3 linked regions of the Caenorhabditis elegans genome follow. The protein of the gene in region 1 interacts with the protein of each later gene in a pairwise test. Each region holds a gene or a part of one and is shown in the gene's direction. Other genes may lie near its edges. The genes, in order: pac-1, picc-1 and ifa-4.

Region 1 (3,756 bases):
TTCATCGCATCGCAGTGTTCCTAGTCATTTTCGATGTGGTAGTTTCGTTTTGATCGGTCCAATTTAGTCTCTTATTTTCCTACTTACCAGTCACAATACTACCGACATCCCCATCGTCGCCACAATCGGTTACATAATAATTATCGTTCGCAATCGGGCGCCACTGCCGCCACACATTCACTCACAGACAGTATACTGTTGGGCACTGATGCTTGTTAGTGTGGTACACGACGACGACAACCATAGATAATTCGCTCATTCATCAGAATCTGAGGACGAGATGAGGGCCACGATGATGATGACAAGCGTGTCAAGGTGAACTCGCGTAGTCTTTCCGTCCGTGTTTGCCTCGTTTTCGCGCGCGCACCCCTTCTTCACTGGCGCACCTGGCTTGTGTCCTTTTCATCGAATCGCTGTCCTCTAGATGTCGTTAGTCTCGTTCCTTATTTCATTTAACGTTCAAGGTTCCTAATATTCTCCATAATTTGTAATTCGAAAAACGCTTCGAATTCTCTCATTATCAAAATTTACGATATCAGCTCATGTGCTTTGTAAATTAGTTTCAATCCGCCCAAGATTCATTTCTATTATTGTCATAAAATGATTTTATTTGGTTTTGTTCTGAAAATTCTGAGACATTCTTGATCCACTCATTAAGATCTGAGAATCTTCCGTGCGAGATTTGAAACTTTTTGAATAATCTTTCGTCTATCATCTCTCTAAATATCTACATCTGGATGGCACATCCGGGTGTAAAACTATAAGATGCCAATCGACAATGATGAGGGAGAAACAAAAAAAGAAAGGAGGATTTACTTTTGTTTTCTTTTCGAACATCTGCTTTTGTCCGCGTTTTTTTTCATCCTCTTTCCATTTCCCTGCCAAGTGGGAACAAGTTTTTTGTTGAAAACTTCTTCCTCTCCCCCCTCCTCATTTCCCTCCTTGTCATTTCATTCATTTTCCTCGACAAATTCCATATTGGTTTTGTATAATGATACTTTTAAATTTCTCGAATGTGAATTTTTAAGCATATGCATCCCAGCCTAGAAGTGCCCTGATTTGAATTTTATGAGCTGAGCATGAAGAATATCTGCATCCTCACCTCTGCCGTATAATGTGTGCCAGCCCACGCCTGCACAAATTTTATTGGTCGTTATTTTACGCCGTTGCAATGAAGGTATATCGGTACACCTCAACTACGCACTTTTTGATGCTCAACGGATTATTTGAATTTCAAACTAAGTGAAATCGCTATAGCATTTACATTTATAATGCATTTTGTATTCACAGCGTACCGTTTTGCTATTTACTCAAATAGATTCTTTTCAAAATTCATAAAAGTGGATTGATTGCTCTAAATCGTCTAGTTTAAAAATTTTTTCATTGTATTTTTAAATAAAAATGTAGAAAAATATTATTAAGAAAATACTATCACAGTTTGTTCAAACAATTTATTTTTGATCAACCTCGTCATTCGAACTTCAGCAGGTAGATCAAAAGTAAATTATATGAAAAACCTTGATTGTATCGAAATTTGTAGCATAATGATTAAAGTTTCGTGATTCCTTGCCGTAACCTTTTCGTAGTCAGAACGCGCCAGACAAACCTTCGAATTATCAGAAGCTCAAAAATATATGTTTTTGGTTTATCATGGAACGAAAATATTTCTAATTGGATTCTGGGTTCAATTGCTACTGCTCCGAGGTCATTTCTTTGTGAACATGCATAATATATTTCCTTTGTTTCCCATTCCTCTGCTACACTTTCTCCATTTCCTCCAAAAATTTTGGACGATGCTTTTCGGATCGCTTTTCTTTTGCTTTCTCAAGAATATTTATTGCTTATAAAATTGTTGTTCCTCAAAACTCTATATTACTCTCTTCTAACAAAAAATACAATTTTCAGATAATAATAGTGTGCGTCAGACGGCACACGACGTCAAACACGTCAAACATAACGAACAACAGAAGAAACAAGGAAAGAAGAGTTTCGGCTCGATGGAGGAGCACCATCGACGGCTCCATGTCAAGGCGGAGCGTGCGTCGGTGATAGGAGGAGACATTGTCGACGGAGCATTCGGCAGTTGGGCTCTTCGAGCAGCACGTAGTGAGCATCAACTTAAGCAGCAGAGTAACGAAGATTTAGCTCAGGTTGGTGGAATAAATTACATTTTGTTCAAATTAAATATTTTTGTTGAGAAAAGAAATACAACAGAATTGAAATAATTATTAGCAAGGTTCGAGAAATCTAGAAAAAAAATCGAAAATTAAAAAGCGAAAATTTTCCAATTTTTTGTAGCAAATTAACAATAAAATTAAATTAAAAAAAAAATACTTTGTGCATGTTGATTTAAAAAAAATCATGCAATTTTCTTTAAAACAAAGGGAAAATGACCAAAATATTGAGCTATTTTTCGAGATATAAGAAAAAAATTTTTTCGATTTTAGTAAGAATCGAAAAAACGACATCCTTGTTTGGAATATCGTATTAAAAAGATTTACCAAAAATGCTAATAACTATTTCGAGCTCTGTTAAATTAATTCTGACAATTTTACTTTTTACAGACGTTTAGCTGACGCTACTCGTAGAATTAACTGTAAAATGTAAGAAACAGAAAATGGAAAAAAAATTCCTGATTCCATTAGCGTTCTATTCTGAAAGCTATTTAAGTAAAATTGGTAGTAGAAAAAGCAGAATGATTAACCATTTTCTCCTTTTTTCGCCATAAAGAATTGGATTCAGTGCAGTCAGAATCACGGCTTTTCTCCTCGTTTGCATCTTTCATAAAATCGGCTCCGCGCTTTCCTGCTTCTTTCCGATTACCCATTTTCTTTTATCCGATTTTATGTGCTGTACGATGAGAAAAGCCGAAATTGGTGAAAAATAAATACGGAATACGGTAGCTTGATAAATTTCAATTGTCCCGCCCCGTTCTCTAGTATTCTTTTTCTTTTCGTTGGAACAGTAAATTATTTGTAATTTCAGAATGCTCGAATCTCGGCATTGCTCGGTGAGATGCGTCCAAGAATGTCAGCGATGCCACCAAATGGACATCAACAGCAATATCAGCCACAGTTGAGAAGAAAAGCAAATACGACAAATATTGTGGATGTATCATCACAAGTTCCATCAGGTAAGGAATATTTATTACTCAGATGCAAAATTTTTCTATTTTCGCTCCAAAAAAATACGGTACACCGTCTCAAAGTTTCCGATGTTCTTGAAAGCAAGCGAGTGTGCGCCTTTGAGGAGTACTGTAGTTCCCAAGTATTTTTTGTTGCGAGATATTTTCGAATGTTTCATAAGTGTAAATCTTTAAAATTATTGAAAAATATGTCAACATATATTTTTTAAAATTCATAAAATCTTGAAGAAAAAAATCAGCAAAACATAATTTCTACACGTGTTTTTTGTCGAAGAAATTTAATTTTTTTCCTTACTAACCAAAGGTGCCATCGAATTTTTTTCAGAGCCGATCAAAAACGAACAATCGAATAAAAAATGTTTAGAAGATTAACAATAAAATTCAATTTTTAAAATCAATTTTTGTTTTTTTGTTTGTAAATAAAAAAGAACAATTTTATTTTTAATATTTTTTTTTGAAATATCGGTTTGAATTTAAAAAAAAAACTGCAATTATTCGATTTTTCTTAAAATCAGAAATCAATTTTTTCGATGATTGTGAAAAGTCGACACCCTTGCGCCCAAAGAAGAATCCTGAGATTTTCATATTTCATTCTGAGAATTTAAATTTTT
Region 2 (3,756 bases), on another chromosome or scaffold:
TGATTCTTACAGTTGAAACAATGGCGTGCTGATCATCGATAATTTCCTCAAGTGATCCGACTGCCATTGGTGTTCCACGGAGCTCGTCCACCTTGGCGCGCTCTTCTTCTTGTCTCTCCTCTTGTGGCTTCAAACGCTCCTGGTTTTGAATGAATTCTTGCTCCATCAACAAATAATCCTTGATTCTTTCGCTCTTCAGCAACTTCAGACGGCATCTGGCATGTGGTGTGACTAAAACCGAATCATCAGTTAAAATACACACTAGATTGAAACTTACCAGCTGGAAGTTTGCTAGCGGCGTCAGGTCCCTTAGACCCCTTCTTCTTCTTTCCAATCCTAGATGGAATCGGTGCCTCATATTTCTTCTTTTCCTTCTTCTCTCCATCTCCGGCACCGCGGTCATTTCCTCTTCCACCGAAACCTGACTGTTGTTGCCCCATTCTAGAAAATAATGATTTTATATGAAAAATAATAAGTCCACGTTTGAAAAAGAAAACAATTGAAAGATATAAAATAAGTAGAACGAAGAATGATTTAAAAAAATACAGCGTTGATGATGACAATGCAAGCGCGCTCTGGTGAGAACTAAACAACGCGCGGTTTCGTATTTTCGGAGCTTCGTTGTTTTTATTGACGAAGCCACATGTCTGTTTTATTCAGAAAATCTAATTTTTCAATTGATTTTTAAGTATTTTCAGCGTTTTAAAGTTTGCAAACGATTGTTCATACTCTTGTTTTCAGTAAACATGATGCAATACATGCTTCTCTTCAGTCGCCAGGGCAAACTGCGGCTGCAGAAATGGTACACTGCTTACCCCGACAAGGTAAGTGTATTTCCTATTCATATGTGTAATTTCACACTCAATTTTCAGCAAAAGAAGAAAATTTGCCGCGAACTCATCACTCAAATTCTGGCGAGAAAACCGAAAATGTGTGCGTTCCTCGAATACAAGGATTTGAAAGTTGTCTACAAACGGTTCGTATTTTATATTCAAAAGTAACAACTCCCATTTCCTGTCATGCCTTAAAATTGTTCCTTCTGAAAATAACTTACAAGTTTATAATCAAAATTTCTTGAAAATTATAGTTACACACCTAAATCCGAAGTTATTACGTTTTTTATTCATGAAAAATATTTTGGCGTCAAATTTAGTTGTTTAATAGACATTTTTGTGATAAATGAAACAAAAACTTAACAATTCGTTCAATTTTTAATCTCAACAATTTCAGATACGCGTCTCTGTATTTCTGCTGCGCCATCGAACAAAACGACAACGAGCTCATCACTTTGGAAGTCATTCATCGTTACGTAGAACTCCTCGACAAATATTTTGGAAGTGTTTGTGAGCTGGATATCATCTTCAACTTCGAAAAAGCTTACTTCATACTCGACGAATTTTTACTGGCTGGTGAAATCCAGGAAACCAGTAAAAAACAAGTTTTGAAGGCGATTGCTGCCCAAGATCTCATTCAAGAAGAAGAAACTCCACAAGGATTCTTCGAGGATCACGGTTTGGGATAATGAAGATAATAGTAACATAATTTATTGACTTTGAAAGCTTCCGTAAATACCAAATACTTCCACCTTACTTTATTTATCCTGGCTATGTGTCTGGTTGTGATAATATTCATGTGAATAAGAGAAGAAAACATTCATTTTTCAATCTTCCATTATGTATTCTTTCTGTTAGGAAACTTCAATGCATGACTTGCATTATTTCTACACTTTTTTCAATTTTTTCTTTAAAGTTTTGAACTTTCTCAGGTTTCGAAGCGGATGATTATCACAACTCCGAGACGAGGTGAGCTAATGTGAATTTTGCCGAGTTTCCCGCACATGAGTGTAAAACACGAACAGGGGAAAGGTGGATTCAAGGATAATTCAACGGGGGGTAATATGCGAACGTTGGCAGTGTAACATGTCAGTTCGAACGGAATGAATGTAGGAATGATTGGCACCTCTGCCGGAATTGTCATTTGTTAGATTACAAAGCACAATGTTCACCTTCTTGTTGGTGTCGAATTTCAAAATATCATTTATCTGAAATTTCGATAAGTATGATTAAACTAGTCAAAATTGTTTCGATCACTTCCGTTTTCTCAAAGTTTAATCATTTTCGTACAGTAGATGTTTGTGTCCTCTTCATGTTTTCTGCCCAATACTTCTTCCTCTTCCCATCCACTATACTTTGCATTGTTTTTGGTTTTACATTGAACAAGGGCAGTGAAGGCGGAGACAGCGGGAAATGTTTCCGCGCGGATTCACTCATTCTCTCAAGTATCCATCAATTTGCTCCAGCACACACTTGTTCTTTCACCTAGTTTTTGAGTCGTAGTTAATTTTTGATCTAAAATCTTGGCAGAAAGCAGAAGTACGCATCACATTATTTGAATAAGTATTCGCATTTTCAATATTCGCAGTCCATGAGACCCTAGAAATCATAAACAAACCTCGCTATTTTTTTCAGTCTTGAAAATCAGCCAAAGAGTTGGTTCGAAATAACGCTTCCCAGTTGCTTTTAACTTTAGGAAAGAACGATTTCAAGTAATAACAATAAATGTATATAATTCAACGGAACTCCATTTTTCACTTGGTAGATTTAAATTAGCTTTACGTGGTGCATTAAAAATAATCACATGTTGAAAATCGATAATAGTTTTTCCTAATAGCAATGTACAAGTAATTGGTTTTTGTGGGTACGCAGAACTAAACCAGGTTTTGTTCTCGCAAGTTGCGACGAAAGTGTGAATGTTGGCACCCTGCCGTGTTCACTTCTTGTTTCCCGCCAAACGACTTGCAATTTGAGGTCGTACTCTTACTGGCAAACCTTTATTTTGCAATTGATGACAGAACCAAGCATATTTGCAATTACTATAATTCCAGTTCAAAATCGTAACCTTTTTTTTTTAGTTTTTTGGAAGTTTTCACACCTATCAATACTCTAAAAACAGATTAGACACTTAATTTTGCTACACAGCTGCCCAGATGGTGCAACCAGTAAAAGGTGCGAACAGACTGAAACAGTCTTCCTATTGCATATACTTCCCGGAAACGTGACGGTGCCCTCATTTCCTAGTCAGAATACGTCTATTAACCAACGTCAATTATTTATCGTCATATGTGTTCTTCTGCAACGTTATTGTGCACACAATATTGCGCTGAATAAAATAGACGTAATCCTCTCTCTATGTATCTATAAGATCAGATTAGTTGTGTGGGAACCTTTATCGAGATACCATCTCTTTTTCTTTCAGTTTTTACACTGTCTTTTTTTGTCTGTTGTTCCTCATGAAAGTATCGTCTAATCCACCTTTTCCTCTTTCATTCGGGGCATTAACTTCGACACCTAAATCGAACGAGACTATCCATTTTCATTTACTCAAAGTCAATCCCAATTCTACACAAATGCCTCCCACTTTTGTGGTAAATCGTATCTGACAGTTTTCACAGGAAGCCATTCCACGAAACTGGTACTGTACCACATAGTCATCTTTAATTTGTGTCACGTAACATGAGGTACAGGTGGTGGCATACCTTCTGTTCTACGTCTATAAATTTGATGCAACGTTCTTATTAACTACAGATATGCCATTAAATTGGAAAACTAGAAAAAGCATTTAGCTTAACCATTTTACCATGACACCGAAAGTTTGACCGCTTCAAAAATCTCACGTCTAGTTTGTTCCGACTAAAGTTTTAGATTCAATACAAATTAGTACGTCTACTTGGTCTCCAATCCTACCTATTATTTTCAT
Region 3 (3,756 bases), on another chromosome or scaffold:
ATTGCCAGTGTAAGTAGAAAATACCAATTAAAAGCTAAAGACGCATTAAGAAATAATTTCCATTTCAAATAAACGTTGTTGAATTAGTAATACGTGTGTTGTTAGTTTAATTTTCATTTAAATCTCACCAAAATTCAATTTTTACTATTTCACCTGCGTGCAATTTTTGACTCATATGCACTACCCAACAAATATGTTATTTCCCTACCTCCCCCTCCCGCAATTGTAAAGCAAAAAAGTAAAAAAATGTTTAAAAAGAGACTCTCAAAATGCAAATGTTTGTTTTGATACCCGCTATCAATCCGCCCTTTTCGCCCATTTTTTCTTCTCTCCCTGATTTTACAGGCCGAGTTTCGTTTGTGTACATGAAGGCAACAGCTCCGCCTCCGTGTTATTTTGCATATATATTTCAGGCAACACCTACGGTTTGTTTGTCCGACACGGTCTCCTTAAAAGGGAGTACTGTAACTGAGCTTTTTTAAAAATGACACTGGTTCTATTTTTCCAATGCAACCTTCCTTTTAAACGTTAGTATAATACTTAAAAACAAAAAAGGAAAGTTTGTTTTTTTTTCTAGTTTCTTAATTAATAAAGTTCGCATGTACTGAAAAAATGACTCTTTTCCTGATGATAATGCAATTTATTTTATACAAATCATAAGTTTCATTAATCAACAGACATCTTAGCATTATGTTTCAGAACATTTTATGTAGATTTGAATTTTAAGGGAAGTTTTAATTTTAAATTCCGTTTTAAAGAAGACCGTTTGCCGTGAGTTTTTTTTTCAGTGTTGTTTTTATTTTAAATGTTTAACTTCAATTTTTTGGCAGTTTTAAAATGAACTTGTATACAAACAATTTCATTAATAATTGTTATTTTGGCTGTACAAGTAAATCACGAACCATAATCAAAGGCTGACTTGTAAGATGTCGGCCGATTTATCTAAGAACGAGATCGCGGGGTGCAGATTTGAAACAATCTGAACCTGTAGACAATATAATCAGCTAAATTTTATTTATTGAACTTTTTCCCAACGCTAATAGTTTCTGAGATAGACACAATCAAATAAATTTCAGAATTATAGATTAAGACCCTTTTGAACATTGAATTTTTAACAAGTCGTAAACATTTCACCTAAATTTTAGAACACGCAGTTTCGATGCTCTGAACTTATTTTTGTCAATTTGTATTCCCATTATCCTCCCCTTATCGCATACTAAAAATTTTTCCATTTTTCGATTTTAGTTTTGACGTGCTTATCTTTTGTCATCCCTTCACAACCAAAACAATTCAGAATAATATAAGGTGTTTACGATCCTTTAATACTCATGAATATGGAAACGTTGTGAAACAGTAGCATTGTGTATAAACACGCCATGACGGCAGCTAGCATCTAGTAATCGGTCACCGAATCGCCGTCGCCACCGCCGTCCGCTTTTGAATAGCGGTCAGTGCGCGTTCGTCAATAGCTCGATGAACCGTTACACTCTCCCAGTTTTTAGTTTCTGTTTCATTTTCTGTTTCATGCCTGGTTTTTTCCTTCTATAATTTGACTATACAGACAATTAGGAGTAAACCCTCCTAGGCATCCTCTTTCCACGCATGCCAAGTCCCGTCAAAATAAATAGTGCGCGCGCCAATTTGTAACACGGTTTTTTGTTCTGTCAAGAGTTAGGGCTCTCGAAACAGCTAATAGATCTCGCGCATTGTCATTGTGTCCTACAAACGATCCATCTCTAATCTGTGTCATATTCACTCATATTCTTGTCACATATGTATAACGTCATTTACTATGAGGTAACTTTTCTACACTTTTTCATCGAAAAATAGTTCGCTGTGTTTTTTTTTTAATTTTCGATTATGAAAATGCAATTAATTGAAAACTATTTAAGTTTCCATGTTTGTAGGAAATGTCGGAGAGCGAATACCGAAGCTCAATTTCGGTTCGACCAACGTTTAACAGAACAATGCAATCCACCGCCACCTATGGAAGTACTATTTGTGAGTTTTCAGATGAATATTTTGAATATGAGCAGTACTTTGTCTTTAAAATTGTATTATATGATGTATTATATGATTTATATTAAAATTAAACCCTCCAAATGTTTTAATTTATGTTTTACAATATTCAATTGGCAATATGCCAAACGTTCAAACAACAACCCTGACCTTTTGAGAAGTTTTGAACATTTTTGCTGATCTGAACTTTCAAAATGTACAAATAAAATCAATTAAAATTCAATTAAAAGAAAAAACTTGTGGAATGTTTTATTGTCTCACTACCAAAATTATGATTGGTGAAAAATGATTAAGTGAACTTTTTTGACTGTAAAGTTAAAAATAAAAATTTAAAAAGTGTTAAAAAATTATTAACATTAATGAATTGATTCCTCTGGAAAACCTACAAATTTTTTTTGTTTTATGGTCATGTTTGTCAAGTGTTATTTTTCAGTTCTGATACACGTTTAAAAACTACTTCAAACTACAAAAACTGACTTCCAAAAATTCAAATTTCAGCTTCTGGAACTAGCCGCACACTCAAGATCACAGAGATCGGTGGATCTAATCTAACATCAGGCATGTCTCCATTCGGAGGCCATGCCGCCTCTGCCATTCGTGAATCTCGTACTCGCGAGAAAAAAGAAATGAGTGAACTCAATGACCGCCTGGCGAGCTACATTGAGAAAGTTCGATTCTTGGAGGCTCAAAATCGCAAGATGGAGAAGGACTTGAATTTGCTCCGTGGAAAATGGGGACACGATTCTACAAGTGTTAAAGTTATGTATGAGACTGAGCTCAGAGTAAGTGAATGAATATTATATACAGCAAAATCTGAGAAACTTTAAATTCTGTTCAGAGTGCGAAAGACCTGATCGCCGATTCTGACAAAGAAAGAGCTCAGCTAGAAGATCAAATTAAGAAACTTGTTGAAGAGCTGAACAACTATAGAAACAAACTTCATGAGGCTGAAAGAGGTGCTGACGTTACACGTAAAGAGCTTGACAATGTGCTCGGAAGACTTGGAGCATTGGAAGCCGAGATTGAGCTATTGAAAAGAAGAATTTCTCTGATGGAAGAAAGCATCGGTCATTTGAAGCGCGAAAATCATCGTATGATCGACTCACTTCATCATGCCAGAAATGTAAGTTTCAGTAGAAAACTTAATTTATATGTACAGCTTTCAGGCTGTGGAACAAGAAACTCTGAACCGCATCGATTATCAAAATCAAGTGCAGACACTACTGGAGGAGTGTGATTTCATTCGCAGAATTCATGATTCGGTATGAAAAACAATTAGTACAGCTTTCAACGAGTGTCTTTTTCAGGAAATCCACGATCTTCTCGCTATGGCATCTCGTGATACTACGGTGGAAAACCGCGAATATTTCAAGAATGAGTTATCCTCTGCTATTCGTGAGATCAGAAGCGAATATGATCATGTGAGAAAAGTCATTAAAAGAGGTAAAAAATAGAGACTTGAATTACAGGTGAGCAACACTACCCGTACTGACATCGAGTCTTGGTACAAGCTGAAGGTTCAAGAAATTCACACTCAAAATTCTCGCAACTGCTTGGAGCAGAATTATGCTCGCGAGGAAGTTAAGAGACTCCGCACAACACTTGGTGATATGCGTGGAAAGATGGCGGATCTAGAAGGAAGAGTTCGTTTTGATGACTATATACATCTGATATTATTTGTCAACATTTCAGAATCTTCTCCTCGAAAAACAAATCGAAGACCTCAACTACCAGATG

The links.
Region 2: the proteins of pac-1 (region 1) and picc-1 interact in binary tests that used the Caenorhabditis elegans proteins (3 or more experiments, as listed by UniProt).
Region 3: the proteins of pac-1 (region 1) and ifa-4 interact in binary tests that used the Caenorhabditis elegans proteins (3 or more experiments, as listed by UniProt).

The regions. Positions count from the first base shown.
Region 1 is NC_003281.10:8,493,113-8,496,868, forward strand, and holds the start of pac-1 (GTPase-activating protein pac-1), read left to right. Parts: upstream 1-1,997; coding exon 1,998-2,150; intron 2,151-2,985; coding exon 2,986-3,133; intron 3,134-3,756. UniProt on the Caenorhabditis elegans protein: GTPase-activating protein for members of the Rho subfamily including Rac1, RhoA and cdc42 and other Ras-related subfamilies including let-60.
Region 2 is NC_003283.11:6,017,229-6,020,984, forward strand, and holds the start of picc-1 (PAC-1 interacting and coiled-coil domain-containing protein 1), read left to right. Parts: upstream 1-1,765; 5' UTR 1,766-1,777; coding exon 1,778-1,802; intron 1,803-3,756. Other genes in the region: rpt-2 (putative 26S proteasome regulatory subunit 4), read right to left, coding at 11-231, 278-440; aps-1 (AP complex subunit sigma), read left to right, coding at 747-824, 873-976, 1,231-1,522. UniProt on the Caenorhabditis elegans protein: Linker protein which helps to recruit the Rho GTPase-activating protein, pac-1, to adherens junctions.
Region 3 is NC_003284.9:4,914,131-4,917,886, reverse strand, and holds the start of ifa-4 (Intermediate filament protein ifa-4), read left to right. Parts: upstream 1-1,907; 5' UTR 1,908-1,910; coding exon 1,911-2,001; intron 2,002-2,517; coding exon 2,518-2,801; intron 2,802-2,857; coding exon 2,858-3,142; intron 3,143-3,185; coding exon 3,186-3,281; intron 3,282-3,326; coding exon 3,327-3,440; intron 3,441-3,488; coding exon 3,489-3,662; intron 3,663-3,711; coding exon 3,712-3,756.